Linked DNA regions of Notamacropus eugenii. The protein of the gene in region 1 purifies or fractionates together with the protein of each later gene. This does not show direct contact. Links are inferred from orthologs where the notes say so. Each region holds a gene or a part of one and is shown in the gene's direction. Other genes may lie near its edges. The genes, in order: STX7, BET1, PTTG1IP and VAMP3.

What was found.
Region 2: the proteins of STX7 (region 1) and BET1 purify together in Homo sapiens (affinity purification with mass spectrometry; 3 studies listed by BioGRID and IntAct, with this or other methods). This does not show direct contact. The link is inferred for Notamacropus eugenii from reciprocal best matches to the Homo sapiens genes STX7 and BET1.
Region 3: the proteins of STX7 (region 1) and PTTG1IP purify together in Homo sapiens (affinity purification with mass spectrometry; 3 studies listed by BioGRID and IntAct, counting the BioPlex papers as one, with this or other methods). This does not show direct contact. The link is inferred for Notamacropus eugenii from reciprocal best matches to the Homo sapiens genes STX7 and PTTG1IP.
Region 4: the proteins of STX7 (region 1) and VAMP3 purify together in Homo sapiens (affinity purification with mass spectrometry; 3 studies listed by BioGRID and IntAct, counting the BioPlex papers as one, with this or other methods). This does not show direct contact. The link is inferred for Notamacropus eugenii from reciprocal best matches to the Homo sapiens genes STX7 and VAMP3.

What each region holds. Positions count from the first base shown.
Region 1 is NC_092873.1:217,747,409-217,755,007, reverse strand, and holds the start of STX7 (syntaxin-7), read left to right. Parts: upstream 1-4,586; 5' UTR 4,587-4,608; exon of another isoform or gene 4,609-4,727; 5' UTR 4,728-4,791; intron 4,792-4,972; exon of another isoform or gene 4,973-5,091; intron 5,092-7,599. UniProt on the Homo sapiens protein: May be involved in protein trafficking from the plasma membrane to the early endosome (EE) as well as in homotypic fusion of endocytic organelles. Mediates the endocytic trafficking from early endosomes to late endosomes and lysosomes.
Region 2 is NC_092874.1:489,427,654-489,435,102, reverse strand, and holds the start of BET1 (BET1 homolog), read left to right. Parts: upstream 1-4,441; 5' UTR 4,442-4,545; coding exon 4,546-4,564; intron 4,565-5,374; coding exon 5,375-5,493; intron 5,494-5,932; coding exon 5,933-5,989; intron 5,990-7,449. UniProt on the Homo sapiens protein: Required for vesicular transport from the ER to the Golgi complex. Functions as a SNARE involved in the docking process of ER-derived vesicles with the cis-Golgi membrane.
Region 3 is NC_092873.1:70,182,926-70,190,184, forward strand, and holds the start of PTTG1IP (pituitary tumor-transforming gene 1 protein-interacting protein), read left to right. Parts: upstream 1-4,254; 5' UTR 4,255-4,429; coding exon 4,430-4,541; intron 4,542-5,139; coding exon 5,140-5,192; intron 5,193-6,918; coding exon 6,919-7,027; intron 7,028-7,259. Other genes in the region: ITGB2 (integrin beta-2), read left to right, coding at 808-870. UniProt on the Homo sapiens protein: May facilitate PTTG1 nuclear translocation.
Region 4 is NC_092876.1:46,453,169-46,461,084, forward strand, and holds the start of VAMP3 (vesicle-associated membrane protein 3), read left to right. Parts: upstream 1-4,915; 5' UTR 4,916-5,486; coding exon 5,487-5,488; intron 5,489-7,916. UniProt on the Homo sapiens protein: SNARE involved in vesicular transport from the late endosomes to the trans-Golgi network.

The sequences.
Region 1 (7,599 bases):
GTGGAGTTCAGACTAGTTCCTGCCTTATTCTGCCACTTTGGCTCCACTCTCTCCATTTTTACATTTGTGCAAATCTCTTTAATATCTGACTTAGTAGAAAACTAATGGATTTTCATATCCTCTTCTGCATTAAGTCTATTGTTAGATGCTATTTTGGTTGAAGTGTTTGAAGAGAATTCAGCCTCACACAGATACGTTTGGAAAAGAGAGAAACATTGCATACAACTGGAAGTTAAGATATACAGGCAATGGAGTATAGAAATCTATTTTGCCCTACAGGAAAATAGAGGGGAAAGGGAATGGAAGAAGGGTGGGTAAAAGAAGAGAGGACAGACTGGAAGAAGGGGTGGATGGGGTGCATACTGTCCTAGGTAGGGGGTAGGGAGAGTTGGTGTGAAAATTTTGAATTCAAATTCTTGTGGAAGTGAATGTTGAGAATTGAAAAATAAATAAATTATATATTAAAAAAAAGAAAAGATTGAAGCATTTCATAATTGTGAATATCTTCTTTGATGCTATATCAAAACTTGACCAGTTACTGTTACAAATGTAGTGGTAATTGACAAAGGTATGAATCCAAAACATTATCAATAAAGTTTTTATACTGCTATATTAAAAGTCATTGTTCCATATTGTGCTTTGAATGGATCCTTTACTCATTCATGGTTTTATAGCATCCTGCTTTGATCATTTGGAAAATATTGGTTCACTAAATTATACATAACTTCCAAATGTTGATGCATTTCATTATACAACATTGTAAAATCATATTTATTTATATCACCCCTAATCTCATCAGAAAAATCTTTAAGTGTTGGAAAACTTTCAAACTCATTTTTGGTAGACACACATTTTCCAAAATTCTATTTTTGTTGACATTTTAAATTTTGTCTTTAGCAACAAATTCTATCAATTGTTTTCCTTGAAGTAAGCAGACCATTGCACTTATTTCTGGAAAAAAAAAAAACTACCATGTATCCAAGTCTGAATAACAATAGTGTGTCTTATTTCATTCAAGTAAAAATGGTGATCTATGAAAAAAAGTGCTTGTTCATCTGGCAACTCACATGATTGCACAAGTAGTCTTCCTGGAGACAACCATCACTCTTCAGCATGCAGCAGAAATGGTTTATATATATACTTCCCATTTTGTCACACAGAATACTAAAAAGACATTACTGAAATGTTGAGATTTAATAAAATTAATATTTTCTATTACTTCATCAAGGACATTCTTAAGTTAAACTTTTTTTTTCATTGCAGGTGAATGGGGATGATGAATACAATGACTACTGGTAAAGTTTAGAGTCCATCCCTTGATTTGTGCTGTGGCACTAGGAGTTTTATCTAGAATTTTGTAACATCAGCACAAAAGTCAACACAGTTGCTCCAGGATAAGCCATGAGATTCAAAAAAGTTATTCAACACTTTGTGTATTTCAGCACCATTTGTGTTTGTTGCCAAGAATTCACATAAAGTTCTTCAGTGATTTGCTGGAATACAAGCAAAACATCAGGTTTAACCATGTTCATACATTTGTCCAAATACAATTCTGTAGATGAGATATCTTCATTATTGCAGCCAAATCTTCATTTCACATATCAGTGGAAAACTGCACTATACAATTGTGAAAGGATAGTGAAAAAAGCAAATAACATCTTAGTATTATTGTGAAAATAACTTTGACCTTGCAAACCACTTGAAAGGGTCTCTCTAGGACCTACAGGAATTCTCAGATCATACTTTGAGAATAGCTGTTCTAAAGGAAACAGATATTTCTAAAACAAATATGTGATAAAGACCACTCACTTCCTTTCTGTTAAGACACAGTCAGTTTCATAGAATTACAGAACTTGAGAGTTGGAAGGCACCTCATTGGCCTTTAAAAGGTGATCATCAAAAAAAATTCCTCTAACTTCTTTATAAGTTACTAGCATATGAGCATGAAACTTCTGAATAGTCTATAAGCCTCTGTGCCTTTTGGTTTCTTATTATTGTACCATATTCTCTATCTAATCTTACCATTCTCCTTATACCCACTTTTGTCTTGAAGTCAGAGATTCATTTCATAGATAGATTCATTATTGACACAAAGTAATCTGTCTCTCTCCCTCTTCCCCACTTCATCTTCATGCATAATACTATATGTATGTATTTGTGTTCATATGTATATTCCCACCTCATCTATTTCATTTTCTACAGTAGGTGTTAGTACAAGTCTTCATGATGGATTTGTTTGTTCTAATTAATTAATTTTGCTTAAGCTCATTATATGTGCTTTAGGGTGAGAGGGTCTAGTACCATACAGAAAATTGTATTTCTTGTTGCTCCCTTTGTTGATCAGTGGTCACAATAAGATGTGAGTCTTACCTTCCAAGGAAAAATTCAATCAAAATATTTTTCTAGCCAGCACAATGAGTCCAAACAATGACCTCACCCCTGTAACCTTTCCAAGTTGACCTTCTCATCCACCATCTACATTTTATTTACTTTGAGCAAAGCATCTATTATCTTTCCATGTCAGACAGCATTTCTCAAACACAACAAAAGTTTGTCTGGTTTTTCTGACTTTACAGTAATTTCACATTAGGATTAGAAAGACTTGCCTTTCTCCAGGCATTTAAAGCCCTTTATACCTTTTTAGTCTTCTGACATTTTACTCTCCTCCATTCATTCTTGCCCCAGTTATACTGGGCTAATATTGTAACAGCAAGGACCCCAGCATACATAGGAAGGCCTGCTATATAGGTTCTTAGATCTGTTTTTCTAAAAGGAAAGTAACTTTTAAAGGGTCAACAACCTACTTTAATCAAAGCATATACATCATTCACTTGGTTTAGGGGGAAAAGTCAGCACCCTGAACTTCAGAGAAAATACAAACAGAGAAATAAAGATCAACAGACAGATCCAACTGTCTGACCATCTATGCATAGTTAGAAGAGAGAGAAGCACCAATATGTGGGTTTTCAAAGCCAGCAGACTCCTTAGTGGCTTACCAGAGTCTTATATGGCACACAAACCTTCCTTCAAAAACTAAGCCCCAAAACAAAACTTCATCTCAGAGTATTTATACACTTTTCAGAGCTAGAGGGCAGGACCCTCTGAACCAGTGTCTCAGTAGAAATTAACAAAAGGTATTGAGGCTTATCAATGGGCAGGTAGTGAAGATCTTTAACTCTTCCCTCCACCTACTATTAACCTTAAATTACCATTACTACTACATACCCTCAAGTAGCATATTCTGTTTTTCATCTCCATACCTTTGCACTGGTTCTCCCCCATGCCTGGAATGCTCTGTCCTCTCACTCCTATCTTCACCTCAAAAATGAATCCCTAAGACTCATTTTAAATTCTGCTTTCTACAGGATGGCTTTGCCTATTACTCCCAAATGATAACACAGAGTACCCTTCCAGATTATATATGCGTAAATATATATTCATGTGTAATATATGGAAATATGATACTATAAATAGACTTATCTGTAAATATATGTGTTTTAATGATGTGGTTTGAGAGGTTCAGGGACCCTTTAAGGACTGAAGTACAGAAGAGGGTTGTCTGAAATTAATTCAGGAACTTGGGTAATCTTTAAATCAAGATTGCAAAAGTTTATTGTAATGCAAATATGACTGACAGAGCTCCTTAAGAAACTTGCAACTTAAACAGGAATGATGCTAAACTTTTATAGGAAATGTAGTAGATTATCTGGCAGATATGCTAATTAGGTGATAACATATAACACACAGGCCTCATTCACTACTGGAAGTCAGGGGAAGGAAGGGGTTTCTCATCTGTGTTTTTTTGGTCCCTCTGCAGCAAGATAGCTTTGAGAGTTGATATCTATAGTTTGACTTCTGGGTTGTATACTATAACTTTGGGAAACAATACATGATGATTCTGCTGGTACAAGAGAGTCTTGTTTTTACAAGAGAAATTCTACAAAGGTCAGATTGTTCTTGGAAGGGAGAAACATAGTTTGTCTTACTGGGGCCCGCTGATGAGTTATTGCTAGGCTGGGGTAAAAAATTGTCAGGGATAGTGTTTTGAGGCAAGGGAAAATATGATGTTGGAAGAGGGGTCCACTATCAGCATCAGTAATGTAGGTAAATACACATATCTATCCACATATGTAATCTAGGTGAATATAAGATGTATACAGATAGTCTGTATATACACATATAGAGATCCATACAGTCTATCTGTTTATTTATATATCTTAAATTGACCTAGTTATTTTGTCTACTTATTTACATGTTGTCTTCCCCCTTCCCCGTTATCTTAGACTGAGCTTTTAGAGATCAGGAACTCTTTTTGGGGGGGTCCCCTATTTTGTGTCCCTAGCATTTAGCACAACAAACGCTTCTTGGCTATCTGACCGCCATCACACTCTGGATGTTACTTTTCTTCTGCGCCTTTACATTTTCAAGCCCAAACTGTGACATCTTTGTCTCCATTTTCAGGCCAAAACTGTGACATCTTTGTCTCCGTCAGCACAAAGTCAAAAGCAATAATCGTCTCTCTCTTCCCATTTCTAGGCGGAGAAAACTGGGCAGAAAGGGCGGGCTCTGACTCCACCCTGAGCCCCAGAGCGCGCTTCCTACCTAAGGGTGAGTCGGAATGGAAGTTCCGGACACGTTCATTGCCATAACTGCCAAGGGGTCCGTGGAAAAGGGATTCTTTTGGCAATGAAATGCAATTTAATCATGCCCATGCTTCACACCAACAGGTTGGGATCTTCTGCGTCCGCAGAGGGCGGCGGCGGCTTTCTTCCCGGTAAAGGAGACGGACAGGTAAGCTGGCTCCTGACAGTACACACCTACCGAAGGGCTCAGCTACGTCTGCTCGCCGACTCCCTGCTTCGCGCAGAAAAAAGGGCGGGGCGGGCAGGAAAGGGTGCGTGTCACTCAGCCCTCGGGGCCAATGAGAGAGCTCGGGGCCCGCCCCCTTTCCTGGGCTCTGCGGCCGGGCCAGCGCAGCAGGGAGGCGGCTGCTGCGAACCACCGCCCATCAGCTGAGAAATTCAGCCGGGTGCCTTCCGGGACGCTTAGGGGTGGCCGTCGGTGGAGGAGGAGGAGAAGGTGGAGGTCTCGGTAAGAGGACGTCTGGGGCCCCTGGGCCGTCTGGCGCCCGCGGAGCGGCGCCGCTGCCCTTGCGGCCTGCCCGCCGCCTGCGGGGTCTCCGCAGCCTTCCTCCGGCGGGGTGTAAGGCGCTGTCCGTTGGCCGCCGCCCTGGGTTTTGCCGCAGCTCCTGGACAGGGCGGCCTGTGCCGCGGGAGTCGCAGCCACGGACCGGGCGCTGCTTGTCCCCGCCTCCCTTCCCCCTTGGCGGGGGCCGGGGCGGAGGAGGCCTGAGCAGTTTCTAGCTGCCTCGGGGCTGACGGGCGTTTTTTCCGGACCTGACAGAAGGCCGGGGGGATGGGGGATGGGGGGCTAGTTCCGCATTCCCGCCCAGCCCAGCTGGCCCCGGGACGGCCGACTGGCCTCTCCCTCCCGGGGTGAGCCGGCGCCCGCCCCAGTTGTGTTCCCCGGTCTCTGCCTGTGCTCCTGCGGTCCCTGTCGCCTCTGTATTCCCAAAGCGCTGCCACCTGAACCTGTTGCTGAGAGGGCACTGGAGAGTAAAGCCAGTGCCCATGCGGGCACCAGGGGAATGTGACTTGGTGTAACACTCCTGTCCCTCTGCCTGAGCCCTCCCAAGGCTTCTCTTTCTTTGCTCATCCGGGCATGAGCACCATGCACAAAGACCACTGCACACGTGAAGTCAGGAGATAGGGAAACAGCTCGTGGTGTTCCGTCCCCTGATTAAAAGTTCTGCTGGGAAACATTGCCACAAACCCTGGCGGAGCTAGCTGACGAGAAATTCATAATTGTGCCCCTGAGGGATGGAGTTGACCTCTTCCTCTTTTCAACTTGTGTTTAATAAACAAGTCTCCAAGTATCATTCAGGAACTGAAAAAAATAGACTACTGTACTGAAATAAATGAACCATAATTTGTATTGTCAGGAAGTCACACGTTCGGTTAAGTTCTTTTGTTGACTTTGGTTAAAATTTTTAATTTTCAGTTACTTTTTTAAAAAGTTGATTATTATGAGTTTTTGAAACAAAGCAGAGTCCATGTTCTTCCTAGTCACTTTTTTTCTTACATTTCCCGTAAATAAAAAAATGCATTGCCTGGGTTACATCACATTTTTTTTAACCTTTCAAGTTATTTTAAATTGAGTAGTTATCTTAAATGTATTGAGGTTGACGTTGTTTGCACTGCCTCCAATATATTCCAGCTATGCTTGTTCAGAACAACTTCCTGCCTATGTGTGGACTCAAGCAAATCATTTTTTTTCCAGTTTTGTGAAATACTTCTCAGCTTGGTAAAGTCCTGATAGCTTAGCAGGCAGCCCTTCTGGACTAGCCTGTGCCACACCTGTGCAAAGATTGATAATGGTTCTGACTTAAGTCTTGTGATATGGAATGAGCAGCAGTAGCAGGTTGCTTCAAACTTGTGACTGCAGGATTATGTTCTGGATTCTTAGTTTCCACATCAGTTAATAAGAGACCATATTAACTCACTAACACTCTGTCCCATCTTTGTTTTTTTCTCCCCTCTGGTCACTTTACTTTACTCCTCATGACACAAATCCTCTAAATTCTAGTCACTAGTTTTCTCTAAGTTCCAAATATTTGGTGCACACAAGTAATACAGGTGTGAATAAAGTAAGAATGAACTTAAATATGGAATTCTAATTGATCCCAAATTTGGGTGCTTGTTGTGGTGAAAGTTGTGGTGAACATGAAAAATCTTTATGGTAATGTAAGCTGAGATTGAAGAGATTTTGGATGGGCTAGAAGAGCTCTGAAGTGAAGCAGATGTTTTTAAAAAAAAAAAAAAAGCTCTAGAGAGAGAATCTCCAAATAGTCTATGATACTTTCTATACTGGGGAACAAGTTTGTCGACTACATATTGTTACGGAATAATAACAATAAGGGATAGGTATTGAACCTGCCATTTCATTGACATAGAGAACTCCCACATGTGGAAACTGCTTCTACCAATGCATATTAGCACGTTCCCTGAAATTTGTAGTTTTAGAGAGTTGCCTAGAACGGTGATAGATTAAATGAATCGTTCAGGGTGTGTACATCAGAGGCAAGACTTGAACCCAGGTCTAACTACTACACCAGACCACCACAGTAACAACCATAATAAACACCTTCTAGTGTTCAGGTCCTTCTAGACCAGATGCAATTGATGCTTTTTTTAAAAGGCACTTGAAATTTGATAAGACTTAAGTATTTCTACATTATACTTCATGCTTTCTGTCTGTCTTTATTATCAGTGTTCTGATAATAGCATTCTAAAGCTTTTTCAAATAACAGAAGAAATAAAACATGTTCTAACTATCAGAACCAAATTCATCAAATGAGAGAGTTTGGTCCTTGAAGGCATTCTTAAATTCTGGTTCTTCTGTGTTGTCATTGAGTCGTTTCAGATGTGTCTGACTCTCTATGACCTTATTTTAGGCTTGGCTTGGCAGAGATACTGGAGTGGTTTGCCATTTCCTTCTCCAGCTTATTTTGCAGATGAGGAATTGAGGCAGACAGGGTTA
Region 2 (7,449 bases), on another chromosome or scaffold:
CTGAGGCAAACAGGGTGAAGTGCCCAGAGTCACACAACTAGTCACTGTCTGAGGTCAGATTTGAACTCACAAAGATGAATCTTCCTGATTCCAGGCTTGGAGCTCTGGGCACTAAGGCATCTCCTAGTGGTCCCAAGCTGGGCATACAGTAGAGCTCAACGAATCCTTGGCAAATGTTGGAGTGGGACCATCTCCAGTCGTTCTGATGAATATCTGACCACTGCACCCAGATGGCTCTGGAGCAGAAAGTGAGGCTGGGGACTTTGTACAGCCCTATGCACTCCAATCAAAGTGAGCTGCAAGTCATATCATCATCTCCCTGGAGACAAACACAAGGTAAATACTGGGTGAGTGAGACATGCAGAGGAGGGTGGGAGGCAGGGCCCTGGGGGACGGAGTTGGGAGGAGGCAGCAGGAGACAACTGAGCTTGGATGCCAATAAATCATCTAACCAGGCACTTTCTGCTCATTGATAACAGTGTGGATGATGACTGGCCCAAATGGAGGCTGCCCCAGAAAACCCTTGCCCTCCCCTAGGCAAGGTTGGGCTGCATGCAGGGACATCTTGATCAGGGCTGAGCCCCAGGCTGGCTCTGGGGCTGCATGAGTCAGCATCCCAAAGGGCACCCTCCCCTGGGGACACGCAAGTCACCGCCTGGGACACCATCAGCACTGCTCCTGCCCCACAGCCCCAGGGACACTGCCCCCTCCTAGTCGTCCACTTGTCCACATCCACACTGGGGGCATCTGTCTCCACCCTCTTCACATGAGCGCTTTTTTCTTTTTTTTACTGTATTTTTAATTTACGAAAAAAACCAAACATTATGAAATAAAATAAACATAATATAGTAGAGCAATAAAGATGCCTTCCCTCTGCCTTGAGATCCCCGCTAGCTCCTTCCCTTACAGAGCATTGCTTCCACTCCCCCACCCTCATCAGTTCTACTCAGTCCTGTCTCTCCAGACTCCCACCCTTAATTGTGTAGCTGCCAAGCCCCAGGGGCAGACTGCTCCTCCCCTCCCTCTGCTTTTGCCCCAAATGAGCTGCTAAAGGAAGCCAAGGTCACAGAACCGTTTGGGATGGATCCCAAACCTCACCTCATAGTCCCCTTTCATGTCTCTTCTCCTCCCCTTCTCCGGTCTCCCCAGAGGGAGCAGTCCTTTGCCCTCTCTCCCTCTCCCTCTACACCTTTATGTATCATCCCCAGGGCCTGTTCTGTCCTCTGCCATGGTTGCCCTGGAGTTGACCCTCATCACTTGGCACACTGGATCGGCCTTCCTTAAACATGGCACCCCCTTCTTCATTCAAACCCACGGGCTCCCTGCTGTCACTAGGACCAGACATGAATTCCCGGTCACATCCTGGCCCGACGTTACTTTCCAGTGGGCATCCTTGCTGTTCCTGTCTCCGGACTCTACGGGTTGTGGCTGCTCCGACATCAGCATCAGCGCTCTCTCTTCATTTCTGCCTCCTGGCTCAGCTGGAGTCCCTCAGCCTCCTCAGACCTCCTGCCTTCCCTCTGGGAGTCATCTCCAGCTTACCCCATGTGTTGCCCTCCTCCCCACTGGGCCAGAAGATTTCCTGTGAGAGCAGGACCTAACCTCAGCCCTTCCCCCAGGAAGGCATAAGTCTGGCAGAGTAGAGGATTTCTCCTAAATGCCTGACTTGCCTAGACCTCTCTGGCCTCCACTCTCAGAGGCATTATCCACTCCCATGAATTCAATGGCCATCTCTCTGTTGTGATTCTCAGTTCTACTTTGCTATGCTGACCTCCAGCCTCACATCTCTCCCTGCCCAGTGGATATCTCAGACTGTGTTGGGGGTGTAAGCTCAGTTCCATGTGGACAGTCTCAGGCAGGTAAAGGTGAGGACTTCTAAATCTTAGCGTTCTCATGAGGCCCCCCAGGGAACAGCAGGGAATTGAGGTGTGAGACCGAGCTATCTCGTGCATTTCCGCCTCTTCCCGTGCGAAAAGTGCTGGGAGAGAGCATCCCCGCCCTCGAGATTGGCCCAGATCTGAGCACACCTATTGTTATCTAACAGGCACGGTATTCAGGTGCAAACTATGCGGCCGGAGAGCTTAAGTAGGGTCAGGAAAGCCTGAAGGCACTGTTAGCGCTGAAGGGCCCTTACAGGACAGAAGGCCCCTCTTCCTTCTCTCCTCTCTTCGCTCCTCCCTCTCCCCTCTCTCCCCACTTCCACTTCCACTTCCATTCTCTTACTGTAAGATCTTTGCCTCCTTGGGAGATTTCTCTCTCTCCTAAGGAAGAGTTCCCCCTGCACATGTAACCAAGACCCTGAATAAAGCCTAACCCTTGTTCGACTCCAGAAGGTCTCTTCTCTCATACGTTTATCCGGTTTGGCCAGCCGAAGACCTGCGATAGATAAGGTAAGACTCGGGTAGCCCTCAGGCCTCTAAGCCTGGCAAGACTGGATGCCCTAGAGGCATCTCAAAGTCAGCATCCCCAAAGCACAACTCACTCTATTGCCTCCAAGCCCCCGTCACTGCAGGGGGCACCCCATTCCCCAGGCTCCCAACCTAGGAATCATCCAGTGGTCCCCACATCCAAGATGGTGACAAGGCCTGTCAGCTGCCCCTCCTCACATCTCTCCCATTGGTTTTCTTTTGGGCTGTTAGAACAGCCTGATATTGGATCTTCTGGTTCTACTCTCTTCTCCAATACATCTTCCATAGGGGCAGCCAGGTCATGCAGTGGATAGAGTGCTGGGCCTGGAGTCAGGAAGACTCATTCATCTTCCTGAGTTCAAATCTGGGTTCAGACATTTAATATTTGTGTTACCCTGGATACATTATCTAAAACTCTTTGCCTCAGTTTCCTCTTCTGTAAAATGAGCTGGAGAAGGAAATGGCAAATCCCTCCAGTATCTTTGCCAAGAAAACCTCAAAAGGAATCACAGAGTCAGACAGGACTAATAACACACGTTTTCTATATGGACTCCAAAACAACCTTCCTAAGGTACATGTCAGACCACACGATGCCTTTCTCACTACAAACTCCTTAGCCTGGCATTTAAGGACCTGCATAATCTTTCTCCTAGTACTCCAGTCTTATTTCACATTCCTCCCCTGCAGACACACACCTCAAATTCAATGCATCAATCAACAGGCATTTATCAAGACCCTAAACATCCAAAAACAAAAGTAAAAATGCCTTTACCCAGCAGCAGGAGACAGTAGGCACACCCAGAAATATATGGTGGGGCTAGGAGCATCTGTGTGGGTGTGGGATGGGGACCAGGAGCACCTGGGGGGAGGTGGGATGGGGACCAGGAGCACCTGGGGGGAGGTGGGATGGGGCCATGGGCACCTTGGGGGAGGGGGCCCAAGAGTACATCTCCTTCTCTCCCCCAGCCTCTAAAAACTGTGGCCCTTCTCCTTGCCAAGGCCTGTCATGTGTCAGGGAACGTGATTGCATCTCACTTCTCCAGCAGATGATCGTACCCTCAGTTCTTTCTCTCCCCTCCCTAACCTCTTCAGGTCTTCCAGGTCCTTCCCTACTGCCCATCTCTATCTCTCTTTTCTCTTTCTCTTTCTGACTCCTCCGAACCCTCCCCGTCTCTGGTTCTCTCTCCTAGACACCGTATTTTGACACTTTAGTGAACCTAGTTCACTTTAAAACTAGGTCTTTCTCTCCTCTGGGATGATCTCTCACACATTCCTGAAGTTAACAGTGTTCCTAAAGACAAGGTAACCCCCCTTTTAAGAAACAGGGAAAGGAGTTGAAGGAAATACAAAGTAACTACCTCGGGTCTGTAACTGATCGATGGGACAACATGCGGGACCAGATGTGCAGGCTGGGTGCTGAGGACGAGGGGTGAAGACCAGAGGAGGGAGCTGTCCCTCCAGCTGGGAGGGTGGGTGCTGGGGGTTGTTTCAAATTCTTCGTAGTTCATTTATTTGTCCATACTTTATTAAGATCCCACAGGGTGACAGACGGGCAATAGTGCTGAAGGTCCAAGGAAAGGCAGGAGCAGAGTCCCTGCCCCCAAAAGGCTTCCATTCTAACGGGGGGAGTGGGGGAAGGGGGGGAAACAACACACCGAACTTTACCCAAGGGGCATACACACGCGGCGAGGGAGGCGGGAGGAAAGGGAACGTGACCCCCGCCACCATTGGAGAGGGTTGGGGGTCTCAGGTTGGGTCAAGTCAACCACAGCCCCCCCGCCCGCCCCCAACCTCCCTTTCCTCAAAAGGACCTGAATGCTCCCCGCGGCGGCAGGGGTGGCCATGGTGCTGGCCTGGGCGACCCGCCGTGGGAGCTCCCCAACCAGGTCCCCGGCTCAGAGTGCCACACCCGCCCGTCTCCCACCCTCGGAGGAGGGATCCAAGGACCCCACGTCCTTTCCTGGACTACGCTTCCCACAAGTGCCCACAGCACTTTCCGGGACTACATTTCCCAGAAGGCCCCGCGGAGCCCCGCCTGCGGGGTTGTGATTCCCGGCCGCGCTGTCCGTGACGTCATCACCCCGCGCAGACCTCGGCGCTGACGTGGCGGGAGAAAGACCGGGGTTTGGGGGTCACGATGCGGCGCGCGGGCCTCGGTGAGTGGGACGGGAGACGGGTAAACTGAGGTAGACGAGGGGAAGGAATTCGGAGGGCTTCTGCGATAGTTAGGGAAATCGAGGTTGGGGGCGGGATTCTTGACAGTAGGGGAAACCGAGGCAGGGGGCGCGGCCGTATGGGCGCTTTCCGGGGCTGGAGAGCGAGGTCCAGGCCTGAGGGGGCCCAGCGGTCTTGGAGGGGGGCGCCCCTAGGCTTTCTGCCGCCTGTGCAGACTGTGAGCCCCGTGGCCTTTACCCTGGGCAGGTCACGCCCCCCCAGCTGCCTCAGTTTCTCCCACTGTACAGGGTCCTTCCAAACCTCCTCCTCCCCTGCCGCCTCCTGGTGCCGCCTGGCATCGGGGTCAGTGCCTGCCTGTCAAAACCCCGGCGCCGGACTTTGACCTCTGACGGGGTGGGGGGAGCAGCCTAGCCCCTCCCCCCAAGCTCCGTCCAGGTTCCGCCACACAGAAGGCGCCGTGGGTCCACGTCACTCTGGGGATCCTTGGGGCTGATCTTTGGGAAGGGGGGCAGGGGAATCAGCCCATTTCTTAGATGAGCGAGGCTCTGGGGAGAGAAGGCAGCACACATCCAAGCATTTATTGAGCGCCTACTGCATGCCAGGCACCACCCCAGTTCTAGGGATGCAAAGAAAGACAGAAGTTAACTCCAGCTTGGGTGGCGGAGGGGGCAGAGCAGGCTTTCTGGAGTAGGTGAAGATTCTGGGGGCGGCAGGGCCCCCCCCCAAGATGGAACCCCTGGAGAAGGACCCCCAGGTAGATGGATCTAACTCCCCTCCCCGTGCTGTGCCAGGTGAAGGTGGGGCACCCCCCGGGCACCACAGCTATGCCAACAGCGGCTACAGTTCCTTGGAGGAGGAGAACGCCCGGCTGACTGAGAGCCTGCGCACCAAGGTGACCGCCATCAAGTCGGTGAGTGGGAGCCCAGAGCTGGGGCACAAAGCAGGCATCCTGGGCTCCAGCACATCCAGGCCTGAGCCTCGGAGCCCCTGAGCCTGGGGAGGGCTGTGCAAGCCCCTCTTCCCCTAGGCTTTCTGAGGCCTGTGGGGGGTTGAGGAGGAGCTGCAGGGGAAATCTGCCCCCCCATAGTGTTTGCCAGCCTTCCTCTCTTTGAGCCACTGAGTAACAAACCTGGCTTCGTGACCCTCCCTGTTTTTGCCCCAGCCCATGATTCACTTGTTCAGCAAAGTCCCAGGGCAGATGGAGAAGTAAAGCAGACAGAAATGTAGGAGGCAGCACGGGCTTTGGTGGGACCATTAGGAGGGAGGAGGAGGAAGGTCCCTGGCATTCCCCCCCTCCGGCCTCCAGGCCTCGTGCCTCCTCACATTCAGCCTCCTGTCTCCCCTCACAGCTTTCCATCGAAATCGGACACGAAGTGAAGCATCAGAACAAAATGCTGGCAGAGATGGTGAGTGATGGGCAGGGGCGGTCTGGAAATTTAATCCACTGGAGCAGAGCAGACATGTTTTTATATGTGTTTTAGTTTTCCAATGATCAGGTTGGTGTTTTTGCTTCCTCTCTTTCCTTCTGGAAAGAAGAAAAAGAAAAACAAGCCCGTCCCCATTGGCCCTGCACGAGGCGGGGGCCACCATCCCTTACCTCTCACGCCCGGGTGATCACTGCACTGCCCTTGGCTTGGACCTCTCAGAGCGCTTTCTGTTTACAGTGAGAAGCTATGGCCCAGGCTTTCCTGGTTCTACTTCCTCCAGGCTTTGGAAAAAAGTCCTCTTTCCTTTGAGTTCTTTCTCCCTTTCCCTCATTCTGTATTTCTCATTCTTTCACTTTTTCTCACCCTTCCTCCCTCCCTCTTTCTTTCCCTACTTGCCTTTCCTTCTGTTGTCCATTCTCTCCTCTTCCTCCTTCCTCCCTCCTTCCCCCTTCATTCCATCCTTCATTCCCTTCTCCCACATCCCTTCCTTCCTTCCTATGCATGTGCCCTAATTTATTCATCCATCTCTTAGGAGATGGCTTTAGGATGTAGGCCTGCTGATGTCATTGGGTCAAAGAGTTCACACAGTTTAGTCCCTTTTGGGGGCCTAGTTCCACATTGCTTTCCAGAATGTCAGGGTCAGACCACAACTCCACCAGCAATGCATAAGCATGCCTGTTTCTCCAGCCTTGGTCATTTTCCTTTTTTGTCATCTTTGCTATTCTGATGGGGTTGGGGTGGTAGTTCCGAGTTGCTTTAATTAATTTTCCTCTTAATTATTACTGATTTGCAGGATTTGTTCATAAGGGTGTTGATAGCCTGGATTTCTTCTGTCTCTGTCCTGACCATTTGTCAGTTGGGGAATAGGGAATTTAGATGAACTGACTGACCTGTAGAGTGATTCTGCCTTCCAGCACTTCTCTTCTTAGACCAGGGGGGCCCCAAAGGAAGATCCCTCCCCATCAGGGCTTAGGGAGAGGCGGAGATCGATGTGGAGGAGGGCAGGATCTGACCTCTGCCCCCACTTCCTGCTGAACCTTCCAGTGGGATGAACAGGCTGGTCTCCCAGAGAAGGGCTCCTGACTTGGAGGTCCAAAAGTGGAAGGGACAGGAGATGTCTGGGCTGAGCACCAGGATACAGGACTTGCTAGGAATGGGCCTCCTTCCTCTCCTTCCAGGGGTGGAGGGAGAAACAGCCTCTTTCATGGGGGGGCCTGATCTTGTCCCTCACCGAGACTCCCCCTACTCAGGTTTCCACCTTTCTCACTGGCTATTCTCCTGGCAGAGAGAGGCGACCAGCCTAGGTGATCTGTGGGCCTGAGTGGGGCTCTGCAGCCCCCTGGGAAAGCACAGCATGACCACACAGGGGCCAGTTCTTCTCCCTTCTCTCCAGTGTCTCATGACACTCTTAGGGGAAAGGGACCCTATCAGCTCTTGGC
Region 3 (7,259 bases), about 150 Mb from region 1:
AAAGAATCTGTGTCTGTGCCCAGGAGAGGGGCAGCATACTCCAGCAGGTGCTAAGGAGAGCCAGTCCAGGCAGAACCGATATGCCCTGGATGTTGGCAAGGCAGAACTTTGGGCAGGGCATTTTAGCGGTGGCACAGGAGATGGGGCATGAGCCAGCAAAGCACCGGAGTGTATAGAGGCATCTGTCACCTGTCACCAAAGGGAGAGGAGTGAGCTGGGGCTGGGGACAGAGTAGTCGTCAGGACCAGATGCTGCAGAGTGACCAGGGAGACCAGAACCAAGCATTGAGCTGGTGAGATACTTGGTACCCTGTGAGAGTTTCAGCCTAATTCCAGGGTCAGAAGCCAGAGCGTAGGAAGGGAATGGAAAGTGAGTGGATAGAAGCCAAAGCTGACCACCAGTATTTGGCTATAGAGGAAGGAGAGGTCAAGGAGTGTAGGGCAGCACATGAAGAGACCTGGGCATGTTTGTAAGCAGGAGAGCCGTTGCTGTTGAATAAGAAGAGACTGCTCCCAAGAGGTGTTGAGTTGGGGGGGTGGTGTGTGGAGACATGGACAGGGGAAACCTCTGGGGATGAGAGCAGCTGGCACTCAGGGACAGGAGAAGAGGGTCCACCTTTGGTGCCAAACCCAGAAGAGAAGGAAAAAACCAGTCCAACAAAACTAGCCAACACATGGGGAAAAATTTGACATCATATACCCATGGTCTCCTTTCCTCTGGCTGGAAGGTGGGGAGAGAACAGTCTTCTCCAGCCTCCATGCCCAGCCCTAAACGTTTGTTCATTTTCTATACTGTTTGCCTTCCCAGGATAATCCCCTTTTCAAGAGTGCAACAACAACTGTTATGAATCCCAAGTTTGCCGAGAACTAGGTGGCCCCTGTTCCTGCTGAAAAGCTGCCAACAGCCCCCTCCACTCACCTTCTAACAACCATATCTGCCAAGGAGAGTCATCACTGGCCCTGCAGTGGACCCTGGGCTTTGGGCTTGGACCCTAGAAGGCACCTCTCCTAGCAGCCACCAAGGCCACGTCAGCTACACCTCTGTTGTTCAGACCCTCATAATATTCTGACCAGTGTGGGGACCTGCCCACTGTCTCCTGCAGATCCTACACTCACCAGGATTTTTTCCTGCCTTCCCTGAGAACTTGAGCACTGGGCTGGACAAGTCTGAAGGTGGACAAAATCACACTGAGTGTCCTGTTTGGTCAGGCCCCCCTGCCCAGGATTCCTAAATGCCGGCCTTGCCAACCAGATGAATGTTCTCTTTCCATATGTCTCTGGTTCAGCCCACATCTGATGGATATTTACTTTCTTTCTCCTACCAGCACTTAGAGTCTCTCTGTCTACCCTGGGATCTTCCATCTACCTCTTCCACTTGGCACCTACTCCTGACATTAAAGGGGATTTAAGCTGGTGTGGGGTTTGGAAATACGTGATAGAATGATGTAGAAGGTTAGGTTGTTGGTACTGAAAAATGGATAGATGTGTGGAAGGATGGATGGATGATGAATGGATGAGTGGGTAGATGGATGGACACATGGGCCTGAACCCAGAAGCCTGTAGGAACTGAAAAGGGTTGGTATGTGGGGGTGGGATGGGGGGGTACACACTCATCTACGGTCTCATTTTTGCATTGCCAGACTCCGTGATGTTCCTCTATTAGACATCTGTCATACTTCAGTAGGTTTCATAGGCAAGATTTGGCTAGCAATGATCCATGTCCTCTGGAGCTCCAAGTCTGGAATATGGCCCAGTGGTTTGGTAGCACATGCCAGCTGACAGGGTCCTCCCTTCTCCCCACAAAGCAGATCACCAAGCAAATACAAGGATACCCCAACAGTTCATTGTGGTTCTGTTTTTTAAAACCTTTATTAAAATGTCAACAGATTGATTAGTCTCTAATTTCTTCTTTCAAACAAAATCATATACCTTTGGGAGCAAAGTTTAAAGAAATGCCAAGTCCATGCCACTAAACACCACTGTTAAAGCCTGCCTAATCTGACCTCAGATGGACCCTTTTCCTGGAGAAGAGACTTTTCTCTTTCTCTTCCTTGCACAAATCCCAGGTCTTGTCCCACCCACAGGTTCCTGATCCCATCAGCCTGTGCTGAGGAGAGGGTCCCTGGCTGCCTGTCCCCTCCCCTTTTGTACCAGGGGAATGGGGGCCTTCCTCTGGCTGAGATGTTCAGCCAGCTGAAGAACTGACAAAGTTATGTGATCCGTTAGTAAATCAAGGGCCTCCTCAGTCCACCGAAGGGGCCACATCCATTGTCAGGGTTAGGACAGACTGAAACCAAGGGAGGTCCCTTTGGTTCCCTCGTGGGTCCGAACTGGAATGAAGCAGCACATGATTGCCAGCACTTGCTGTCAGCTGCTTCACCCAAACTCTCACCTTCTGTAGCATGAACAGACCGACTGACCTTGTGTTCTGGGCTGTCTGCATTCAGGGCACACACCTCAGGTACCTTTCATGGCCTAGGGAAACATTGATTATTTTGCTTTTCATTTACCACTTGGTTTATTCCATATCTGCCAGGGGGCTCAGTGGTGGGGCAAGGGCTGCACCCAAGGGCACATACCCCGGGGTAGGGGGCACACTCATGACTCCTCCAGGCTCTGGGGCTGGCAGAGAGGGGGGATGGGGAAGAGGTAGGGATGCTGATCCTCAGGGTCAGCTCTGGAGGTACCCCCAACCCACCCTTTCCGATTCTGTTCAGAATGGACCTGAGGCTCAGGAAAGAACCTGGAACTGGCCACACCATGAGCTGGGCTGACCAAGTCAGTCTTAAGCCTAAATTTTAAAGTGGGCACCAGAAAAGGCTATTCTGTGAACCTGGCATCCCTGCATCCCCCTTCACCCACAGGAAGAAGAGGTGTGGAACAGGCTCTGGAGCTCGTTGTGTCTCCCCCCCCCCCCCCCCTTTGGATTTAACTGAAGAAGGTTGGGGTGGCTTTAGAGGCCATGCTCACTCCTCCCTTAAGACCCTTTCCTCGAGATCAATGAATGCAACTCCCTTCTCTTCTCTGTTCTGTTCCTATTTCTTGCCCAGTCAGCAGGTCCGGGTGATATCCCCCTCCCCAGCAGCCTGAGCAGATCCCATTTTAGGTCAAGCCACATTGAGCCTGCTTTGTCTGGGTCAGGGTGGATCTACTGAGGCTGCTGGGGAGGGAGGCATCCCATCTAATAGGATATGACAACGTGCCTTGGAGCCAGGTGACCTGGGAAGGTGATAGGGGCGTAATTGGGGGATCCATGAGGGACAGCACTGTGGTGGTAGGGGGTGCTCTAGACCTCCAATTCCCCAACTCTAAAAGGAGGGCATCAGGTGAGCTGACTTCTGTCCCAAAGGTCAGAGTCAATGGTGTCCTCACCTAGAGAGACACTTTCTGAGGCTACCTCCAGGGCACTCTGGGCTGGGAGGAAGTGCCCCCCACAAGCTCCAGGGCTCTGCCTGGAGGCAGGAGCAGGCAGAGAGGGCTAGGCCAGCAAAGGTAAGGCCAAGAGCCCTTGCTCACTCACCTGGACCAACCCCCTCCTCATTCAGGGACAAGGCACTTGGGTGCCCTTCCCAGATGGCACCAGTGACTGCACTCCCGGGGCCCAGACCAGCCACTGCCTTCCCTGGGGGGGAGGCGAAGGCCTGTTCTAAATTGGAAACTGCTGGATTTGCTCCTGGAACTCCTCGGGGACCTTTCATTCCAGAGCCTACATCTTATCTCTTTCAAGTTTACGTCTACCCTTCCTGTTCCAAATGCTTATGGTAGACAATACTTCAGAAGATGGTTCTGTAAGCAGGAGGGGAACACATGGTGTTCTATCTCCAGTGCCCTGTTGTCTCGGCTCAGAGGATCAGGATAGGGGGAACCTCACTAATGCGGAATCCAGATAACTGAACTCTGGGAGACTGAGGTTTGCAGAGAAAATGATCCCGAATGGGAGGACAGGAGCCCTGCGGCTGAGCTCGGTGACACCCCCAGGGCCTAGGGCTTCCCCTGGGGATGGGGGGCCAAGCTCCAGGTGAGGCAGGATCCAGCCCCGCCCCGCCCAGCCCCGGGGGCCTCTGGGCCGAGCCTCCCCATTTCACAAACAAGGAAACCGAGGTTGGGAGAGGCCTCGTGCTCCCGAGGGTGCCGGCTAGCTCTGGGCCCATGAACAGGCCGCAGGGGGCGGCAGAGAATGAGCCCCGCCCTCCCCGCCCCGCCCCTCCGCTCCCCTCCCCCCTCACCCCCCAGGCACCGGCTCGCTCTCAAAGGAGGGTTTGGCGCCTGCGCGGTGACGCTCGAGCAGGCCCCGCCCACGGCCCCGCCCCGCGCTTGCTCAGTCCGGAGCTGGGATCGCGGCTCACCGAGAGGGGAGAAGATTCTGCGTCCGTCTGTGGCCGCGTCTCCGTCCGAGTACTTGAGCGGCAGAGGCCGCCGAGCGCTTGCTCATGGAGCCCCGGGGCCCGACACGGGCCGTGATGCTCGGGCCGCTGCTGCTGCTGCTGCCGCTGCTCCTGCCTCAGTCCGGGCCGGCCGTGTCGGCCCAGAGCGCGGCCGCTGGTAAGGGGGCGCTGGGCGAGGGAGGGGACGGGGCGGGGGGGGCGTCGAGCCCACTGCGCCTGTGCGAGGCTGGGGAACCGCAACTCTTCCGGGGCACACTGCGCCTGCGCGAGGTGGAGCGGCGCGGGCCCGGCCCCCGGCGCTTTCTCCGTACCCCGCCCGGTCCTGCCCTTTGGCTCCCCTGGTGTTGGCGTCACCTCCGCTACCCCCATTGTTCCTCCGTGAGTGGGGGGAGGGAACACTAGGATTCGGCGTCCCCGCGCCGCGGCCTGGGCCTTCGGGAGTCGGGGGAGATCTGGGCCCGATCTCTGCCCCCGGCTCGTTTGGGGGAGATGGGGGGGACTGGAGGCTCACAAGGGAGCGGGCTCCCCGGAGTTTTGTTTTCCTTTTCTTTCCCCTTGGTGGGGGAGGCGGGGAAATAGATTTTGTTCATTGAGAAAAATAAAGCCCCGACATGCAGGGGCCAGGTTGGGAGGCAGCCCTGTGTGGGCCTCAGTTTCCTCATCTGTAAAACGAAGGGCCCTGAATCTTAGGGCTCCGTCGGGCTCCTCCCCTGGTTCCTTCAGGCTGAAGGGTGATCGTGGTTGTTTCCCCCCAGCTTGCTCGGAGAGTACCAACAGATCCTGCGCCGACTGCCTGAAGAACGTCTCGGTGAGTCCCTTGGCCTGCCTGAGGGAGGGGGCCTCAGCGCTCGCTTCCCGCCGTGTGCTGGGCCAGACGTCACCCTGCCTCCTCCACTTGTGGTCTTCTGTCCGGCCCACTCCCTGGCTCAGTTGCTGGGGCCTTGCCCCCTAAACCTCCCTGTGTCCACATGCGTGCCCCACAGATGCTCATATTCTCTCCTCTCACACATACACACGTACACTCTGACACTCACGCTCTGACTCCTGGGCTAGACTGTGAGCTCCTCGAATGTGGCTTCTCCAGGACCTAGTGCCCAGCAAGCCTTTGAGAAGTGCTTGTTGGTTGGTGGATGGACAGATGGTCAGTCACTGCTGGGTTTTTTTTCTTAGGAAGGGTTTGTTTTGTCTCGGTTTAGGCTCTCCTAGGGAGCAGTCCCAAGGAACCCCCTGCTTTTACAACTCTGGGTCTGGCAGGGACCTTCCCCAGACTCCCCCAGCCAGGCAGAATCAAAGGCAGGTCCCCTGGCCTCAAGGCAAGTTCTGTCCCCAGCACAGACTGGCTTCCTCTTTGAAGAGATTTCAGTCAAGGTGATGGGACCAAACGTAGACATCAGAGGATCCCGATGGCCCATCTGACTCTGGGGGGGTTAGAGAAGGAGAGCTCAATCTGATCATTCTGGGATGAGTGGGGCGGTCACAAGCCCCCAGAGTCAGGCCTTCCAAGCCAGTTTTGCCAGGCCCAGGCCACATGTCTGTACCCATCCTGGCACATCCCAAAGGTACCAAAATGCTATAGGCCTCTCCCCAGCATCAGCCCAGAATCTCTGTGAGATTTGGGGAGGGACAATGAGGAAATTATTTTAAAGTAAGCCCATGGGAGACATCTTTCTGTGTACCCCAAACAGATGTCCTCAGGTCCCTCAATCCAACTTGGCCCTGGGGCCTCTGTTGTTACACTGGTGGTTCAGGTTTCCCACTAATGAATTGGTCTGTTTTGAAAAGAGACTTCTGCCCCAATTTCCTGCTTCCTTCCCTCCTCTGGATAAGTGGGCACTTGCTCTGCTACCCCCTCCCTGGGCTTAGGAGCAGAGGCTGCCAGCCCATGTTAAGCCTCCACTCTGAGATGGCACTGACCATCCCATCTGGTCTTATCCCAAGTCCTGTGTCCTCCCACTTGACCAGAAGGAGCCTTAGAGTTCTGTCCAAGCCCTGGATCTCTGATCCCTAATATCATGCTTTGCTTCTGATGATTCTCTCTCCCACTCACAACAGTGGCTGAGGAAACCTGGGGCACCTTTGTCCTTCTTGTCCTCTCTTTATCCATTTTCTCCCCACCCAGTGAGAGAGGGGCTAGGGAGTGATTGGTGAAGGGCAATAGGTGCAGATGAGGAGCAGGGCTGCCTACCTGCCCCAGTGGCTGAGTCCTTGCAATTGGTCCTCCCTGCCTCTGTTTTTCTCTTCTCCATCTCTTTTACCTGTGCACTCACTCCCCAGTAGAACTGATTGACCTTTATTAAGGATTGAGGGCCCACAAGACAAGATCCAGATGGGCCCTGTTCCCCTGGGACATGGCGGGGGGAGGGGGGGGGGGTGTTCCATTGTAGACCTGGGCTGCCCAGTCTCTGAGGGGGATGCCTAAGTAGTGAGGAACAGGGGAGCCTTCATGGGGGCTAAGACATGGAGACAAGGCAAGGTGGGGACAGGACTGATTGGGGCCAGGAACAGAGGGATGATGCTCTGTCTGTCGGTTCCAGTGCTTTTGGTGCTACACTAATAATGCCTGCCTGGACTATCCCGTCAGGAAGATCCTGCCGCCCAGCTCACTGTGTCCTCTGAGCTCTGCGCGCTGGGGTGTGTGCTGGGGTAAGTTCTCCCTTTGCTTGGCACATCTGCCCTTGGCTATGCATCCGCAAGCTTGAGAGGAGAAGCAGCTTCCCCTGGGTCATAGGGGATCTTCTGACTCCCAAGTGCAGCTAGCACTAAGTCCCTTCATGGAGCACTAGGAAGTGTGGGAGGACTGGGGCCAGGACTTTACATAGAAGAATGCTCTTCACTTTGGGGTGCCTAAGGTCAGTCAGTAAATATTAAGCACCTA
Region 4 (7,916 bases), on another chromosome or scaffold:
TCTGGCCAGTAAAATCCATATTTTGGCGATATTTCATCAAAACTGAGCAGTTTCTGTGTATATATAGAAGGTAGAAATGGAAAATGAGAAATACTATTTGAAAGGGATTATATTGATTAATTACTAAATATTTTATTCACAAAGGGTCAATAACATGGCAAGATAAAATTATTATTTGTATAGTTTTGTCTGAATGAGCGAGAAAAGTGTGGATGTATTGTTTGTACATATTGTATATATTAAAACAGAGATATGTGCATGAATTCAAGAAAAAAAAGAAATGAAAAAAAGCAAAGCATTAGTGGCTATGGTCTGTAAAATGAAACAAAAACTTTATTTCACTATAAGAGTACTTTATTTTAAATGTTCTTTAGAAGAACATTTTGCTAAAGCATGACTAAACTGCAAAAAAAAAAAGAGCTACTGTATTTAGACTTAGGAAAAAAAGGCAGAGTAACATTACTAAAAAACAAAAAAAAGGATATGTTTACATTTAATTTTGGCTACCGGGAGTTGATTTAATTTTATTTTAACTTTTTTTGCCAATGGTGCCAAGTAATGTGAATGCTAATATTGCTTAAGAAAATTAAGTTAATTTTGCAAAGCAGATAATCATAAGAAAAACCAGTATATAGCTTAACACCATCCACTCACTCCAATAAAGAACACTTAGAATGAACATAAACTGAAAAAAAAAAAGAAATAGTCTGAAAGTAGAAAAATATGTTTCACATTTTCATATCTCCTGCTGGAAGTCAGAAAATGTAATAAAAATTGCACAAAAAAATTAAAAAAATTAAAATTAAAATGATGCAAACTGGTCTTGTAGGGGTGTCATGGTATATTACTATTTCCACATAATGAGGAGCCAAAGAAATCAGATACTTTAAAAAAAAAAATAGAAACTACTAATGTTAAATTAAGAGAGGGTAAGTTAGTATTTGCTGATACCAGTTTAAAATTTCCAAGCTAAGTCTGAAGATCAGTTGGTGTAAAGTTAATGACAATTAGTTTTGTTCTTACTTGATTTTGGCCATCAACTGTAAGTGAAAATGCAAGGCTTGTTGTGAAGCCTAAAAATATTCACAAATAAGAAGCTTTTAAACTGGTGTCTTTGGAAGGAAGGTATATACAAAAGGATTGGGGTAAAAACTGGGGTCAGTGCTCTTGGTGCCTTTTCTATAATTGTACTTGTTTTTTAATTACTTCCTTTCACTGCCAACCTTGAATTACTGTACAGTATACGTCTTACTGCTCGTGATCAGCTCTGACAACAGTGACAGTCCCACAACGAACAGCCACCTGTACATTTGTAAACTGACCTAACTCAATTTTTTTTTTAAGTGTGTGGCTCATGCTGCAGCTGTTGCAGTCCCAAAACATCTATTATTTTACAAAATTGGGCCTGTAGGAGAACACTGAGTATTATACACTCATAAACACATATACATAATTGCACACACAAATGGGAATGGAATGTGAAGGCCAGATCTTTCGAAATGTCCTGTATTAAAAGTGAATTTAGACATGTTTATTCCATTTGTTATGAAAAGAATGGATCTTTAACAAGAGTAATGACCTCAGTGGATTTGTTTTAACCCTCACATTTCTACAAAAAAAACGTTTCACATACATTTATTAGATGGGCAAGATAGAAGACTCAGTAAGATATAGAAATACTTAATGTTACTCTTCCAACTCAGAGGGTCTTCCTGGAGGGAAGAGAAAGTAGGTTTACTGCCTACTGCATAACCCACCACTGACCACTGAGTTAGCTAAAAATGCACTTCCACTGAAAGAATGCATTTCTGATCGCCCTTTTCTTGGTTGTGGATCATAGTTTTGAGTATAAGATGATAGGTAAGCGCAGCTTTCTTGGATAATCTGAATTCCCAAGTGCCAGGAGTAGGATTTCATTATAAAAATTAATAGCTAATATTATTCTGTCTCCTGAAAATTTAATTGCTATTATTACACATTTGAAATCAGCTGTACTGTGTGAACGAAATAAAGACTATAACATGAACCCCCTCTATGGTTGCACGGTCGCTTATGGCAGTTCCACACAGTAGTTGGCGCCCAACGGGGGGTCCCCAAGACTTGCATGTAAAACTAGTCTAGATGTCTCCTTTTTGTAAGTTTTATTTTTGTAATTGTGCATGTAAAGCATCACTGAATCAATGGATCTGTTGAAGAACTCAGCTGCTGGAACCATGCAAAATGTTTTGAATTGCCCTTAAAATATGGAAAATGTTTTCTGAATGCTTTATATTCTTTCTGCTGTAAATTAAAAATGAAGAAAATTTCCCCATACTAGGTGTTGGTGTGTTTTGTTCTTAATTTAGATTTCTCGGCTATTTAAAACCAGGGCACATTGTGCTTAACTTCATGTTGTTTCAAGCGTATCCATTTCAAAAAACAAAGTTTGGGTCCAGAATCTGTCTTTAATGAACATGATTCACACATGCCCTCCAAAGCACATCTCAGGAAAGTTCTACTCAATTTGCAAATAATAAAGTTACTTAAATGGGTTAAATTACAGAGAAATCATTTAAAATCTTTGTATTTAAAATACCAGACTGAATTAAAAACATGTAACTATGAAGCCTTCTGAGTCACTAGTGACAATCTTGCAAGCTGTTTAAAGTTCTACAGGGCTCCCCTCCATTCCCACTGCCAGCATCCTAGCCTAGGCCCTTTGCACCTTTCCCATTTGGATTATTGCAACAATATCCTAGCTGGTCTCTCCCTCAAGAGACTCTTCCCACTTTAAATCCAGTCTACTCCAACCTGGGATTTCATTAATATCTTACAGGGCCCTTCCACAGATGCAGAGCACAACTCTACCACATCTAAGAGTGGTTATGGACAAAAAAAAAAAACGATCACCCTTCATAGGATCATAGACCTAATGCTGGAAGAAACCTTAGAGGTCATTTAGTCCAGCCCCATCATTTGACCCAGTTCCAGCATGTGCTACTAAATGTTTAACAATCCTTTGTTGTTTTGTTTTTGTTGGGGGCAGGGGTAACGTATTCTTGACATACTTTTAAGTTGAGTCTGAATTACCAACATTTCCTTGATTGCTTTAAGTCCAGGCAATCAGCAGTCAAGTTAAGGTGTAAATGTTCACACTGACATTTTAACAACTGGCTCCCTAGCCAGGCTCCACCACACCACACACATCTTTGGCTTCTTCAAACTTTGCAGGACTGATACCCTGAGAACTGGTACCCAGTATTCAGAGCCTTTCTGTTTTGAGAGGGCCTCCCCAAACCTAAGCTTTGCTTACATAGCTTCAGGAACCTACAACCAAGACACAAGGCCTTAGTGGAAGAATTTCCTTAAAAATTCCCATTTATCAAGTCACTCCCCTGTTCACAAACCTATGTTGGTTCCCTATTGCCAACTCCAATCCCAATTCTTCTGCTCCAAAATGTGTCCCTATCCAGTCTTATTAACTACTTCATCTATACGCACCCTTTCTTCCTGTCAAATGTCCTCATTATTCTTTGGCCACTGTTCTTGCCCTGTACCTTTGCTCACAAGGTTCGAAATACTTTTACTCCCCTCTACTTAACCAAATTCTACCCATCCTTCAAATTCCACCACAGATCTCATCTTGCCAACATAGCTTTCTTTGACTACTCTTGGAATCCCTTTTCTTCCTATTGCTTTTAAGGTTACTACTTTAACTGTTAAAAGAAGGTAAACCGAGGCACAAATTTCTAAGCATGACCAATTTATTAGTAAAGTGTGAATTTACCAATAAATACAATCACAGTTTCCTCAGCGAAGCTAAGACATCCCTCCAAATGTGGGAGATAGTTCTCTTTTATAGCTTTTTTGGGGAGTATAGAGCAAAGAACATAACTTCCTAGGCGGGAAACAAGAGCTCAGCATCATGAATGGTGAAATCAAAATGAATGATTACAGAGCTGAGGCATGGGGCGACAACACGATTGGTTGGAAACTGGGAACCAGGGCCTAGCAACAAACACCCCTTTCCTCTCCTGTAGTTAAGGAATGTTCCTTGAGTCTACCCGCAAGATTAGATAAAGTGGACCAGACTTCTTTGCAGAGTAAACCAGACACCCTTGAAGGGCAGTTTGGTGGTGTAAAAATACCAGACCAGACTCCCTGATGTCCACCTGCATCCCCCAAGGAAAGCAGAATCCCTTGAGGCAAGAATGGACTTTTAACCTTAATTCACTGCATACTAAGTTCAGAGACAAGAACCACGATTTGGGCCATAACTGGACAAAATCAAGTCACCATAAAATAGGATCAGTTAAAAGACAGAATCAATCTGATTATCCCAGCACTCAGCCTCACACCTGCTGTCTTACTAAAGGTGCACAGCTGTCAGTCAGGTCTCCAATGACTCTGTGCTCCCTGAGGGCATCCCTTGTATCCTTTCCCTAGTCTGGACTCGTTTTGATGAGAAAATTCAGATTCAGATTCGTATGGGGCACGCTGCTTTCTCAGTCACCGAAGGGGTAACTAAGAGAGCCAGGGTCCCTCCCAATCTTTTGGCGGAAAACACACTTATCGCAGCTCGGACCTGTGCATTTATTTAGGAATGACTGGGGAAAAGCACGAATTAAGCGGTCTGCTAACATGGGAGGCAATGCCAAGCTCGTTGTATCCGTCTGGCTTTCATAAATACCTCCCAGTTCTAATGCAGGTCTGCCCGGACCCCTCCTGTACGGTTATATATGGGGCACAGCGGGCACTGCTTACCTCACCTGGGAAGAGGGACCATCCTCCCGGCAGCCTCAGAGGGAGTACAGCGCGCATGCGCGCACTCGCGGTCCCGCCTTCTCCAATCCCACCCCCGCCCCACCCCCACCTGGGAGGGGTCAGCGCAGAGGCCAGGGTGAGGCCGACTAGGGCACCGCCCCCACCCTCACTTACCCGGGCCACTTCCTTCCCCCCGCTGGGGCCGCCTATTCCTGCGGCTTCCTACAAGGGTCCAAAGAAACTCAACCAGGGGAGGGGAAAAAAGAAAGCCCGGAGAGAGAGTTGGACGGGGGGGCAGACTGAGGGAAGCGGGAGGGAGGGAGGGCATGGGCACGGACGGCGGCCGCCACCCCTCCCCCTCTGCTCTGTCAGTCACAGCGCCGCGAGCGGCAGCAGCGCCCGTTGAATCCGTTCCGTCCGTTGGTCGGCGCGCACGCGCACGCCCCTGCCTCCGCCCTTTCTGACTTCCTCAGGGAGAGGTGTGCCCGCGCGCCTGCGCGCGTGCGTCTAAGCCCTCTTCCTCTCCCGTGCAGACGGACGTGCGTGCGTGCGTGCGTACGCCTCGCTTCCAAGCTCCGCCTCTTCCCTCCGGTGCGTCACCAGCCGCGCCCCGCCCACCAGTCTGGCAGGCGAGCAGGCAGACGGAGTCTGGGCGTCCGTGAGCCGCTCCACCCTCCGCGTTCCGAGGCCCCGCAGAGCCCGCCAGAGCGATTCCTCTCCCGACGAAGGGGCCAGCCGCCGAGATGTGAGTGACGCGCCTCCGGGGCCCGAGCGGGCGGGGGTCTGGCTCCGCGGCTGCTGCCGGGGCGTGCCCCCTCCGTGCGGCCCGGGCTGCGGGGGACGCCCTGACGCGGGCCGCAGCCTGTACGCTTGTATTCTCGTACGCGCCCTACGAATAGAGCCGGCCCTGCCCTCGCGGAGCTTCCAGTCTGAGGAGGGAAGCCCCGGGGTCCGGAGCGGCCGAGGGGAGGCGGCGGCGGGGTTCCGATCGCGCCTCGGCGGGGGGGACGGAGCCTGGACGTGGAAGGGAGGGGGAGGGGGCGGGAGACCCTGCCCCGGGCCCTGGCCCCTCCTGGGCCCCCTCCGCCCCCTCCGCCCTTTCCGTTCTGGAAGGGTCTCCGTGGTGGGCACGGCAGCAGTAACGATGATGACGGCGGTGATGACGTTTATGTAGCGCCTTCGGAGCGCTTTCTAGGCGGGGTCCCCTTGGAGCCCGAGAACGACCCTGTGTGGGGCGGGGATATGTGTGCCCATTTTACAGAGGGGGAAACTGAGGCTCAGGGAGGCGCTTTGGCAGCGCTGGAACGGTTCCCTACATAAGCGAGTAAAGAAGCATGAACTGGGGGGGGGGTCCCTGCCCCCAGGGGGTCGCTGTGGCTGCCCCCAGGGGGTCGCTGTGGATCTTTAGGGAGAAGTCAGATCATGAACATTATTGTCTAGGAACCAGGCTTCCTAGGAATTTTGAGTTACTTTCTTGTGGAGTGCTTGTGGAACATTTCTCCCTGCAGTCAGACATTTGTCACCGGTGCACAACTTTGGGAGTGTTCACTTTTTCCTCTTGAAGGAATGTGGCTTAGGATTTTAAGGTCCCTTTGGTGACTGTGCTTTACAGTGTGACCTTTTAAATGCATTTTTCCTGAGCTTACCCAAGATTTTACCAAGAATCCTATCTGGCACCCCAGGGGGCTCAAGTTTGGAGAATGAAAGGAGGCTAGGAAACTAGAATCAGAATAGTCTCGTTGGCTTCTCAGGAAAGAAAATGCATTCCACCAAAATAGAGTATTAATGGCAGCTAGCATTTATATAATACCTACTACGTCGTTACAAATATTATCTCATTTCATTCTCCTAACAACCCTCGGAAGTAAATGCTATTGTTAGCCCCATTTTACAGTTGAGAAAATTGAGGCAAGCAGAGGTGAAGTAACTTAACCAAGGTCCATCAACTGGTGAGTGTCTGAGGCTGGATCTGAACTCAGGCCCAGCACTCTATCCACTTCTCCACCTTAGGTGCCCCATACTAAGTACTACTATGTGGTTGTTCAGTTGTTTTCAGTCATGTCTGACTTTTCATGATCCCACTTGGGATCCTCTTGGCAAAGATACTGCAGTAGTTTGCTGTTTCCTTCTCTATCTCATTTTACAAATGAGGAAACTGAGGCAAATGGTGAAATGACTTGCCCAGGGTGACACAACTAGTGAGTATCTAGGCCATATTTGAACTCAGGTTTTCCTGAGTCCAGGCATGGCTCTCTATCTATTGCATCACATAGCTGCTCATCAATATGTTCAAGATAATGTTGAACATTATGGGTGATTCATAGAATTACATGGCAGTCTCTGCTTTCAAAGAATTTAAGTTCCAGTTGGGAAAAAATTGCAAAAATAACCTTACATGTCATCGTCTGACTAAATATCAACTAATAAAAGTATCTACTCTGGGTTGGAGTGGTCAAGGAATGCCATTTCCTTCAAAGCAGCATTCTGGTGTCTCCTTTTAGTAGAAAACTTTCCTGATTCTGTCCCTCCCCATTGTTGGCAGTCTCTTCCTTTCACAGTTACTTTATATCGCCTTTCATATACTTTGTGTTTATTTGTGTGTGTGATGGCTCTCTATCTCCAATAGAACATAAGTTTCTTGAGGGTAGGTACTATTAAATTTTTCTTGGCTTTGCAGCCCTAGGAAGAGCCTTGACTCAAGTGCTTTACATGCACAAAAGGCTTAATAAACATTTATTGAATTGAATTCATGAGAAAAATAAAATTTGATCTTGGCCTTGAAGGATAGATAAATTCAAAGCTATGAGCATTATCCCAGTTATTTCTTCATTTACCTACTATTTAGTGGTAGTGTGAATTTAATAATGCTCATTCCTGAAAATTACATTCAGAAGTAGCAAGAAACAATAATTATAGCAAATGAACTTAACTATGTCCTTAATGGGGGTGAGGCAAAGGTGTGGTCCACAATTCTTAGGCTTAACTATGAAAATACCCTGAACTGATAAGGATTAATTTCCTTGTTCAGAACTAAAAACTCATTATCTTTCCTTATGCCGTGTTCTGGTGATTCTATCTTTACAACATCTCTTAGACCATGCCCCCTTCTCTCCTAAGACACTGCTACTGCTGTGATCCAGGCCCTCATTACCTCACGCCTACATGATTGTAAT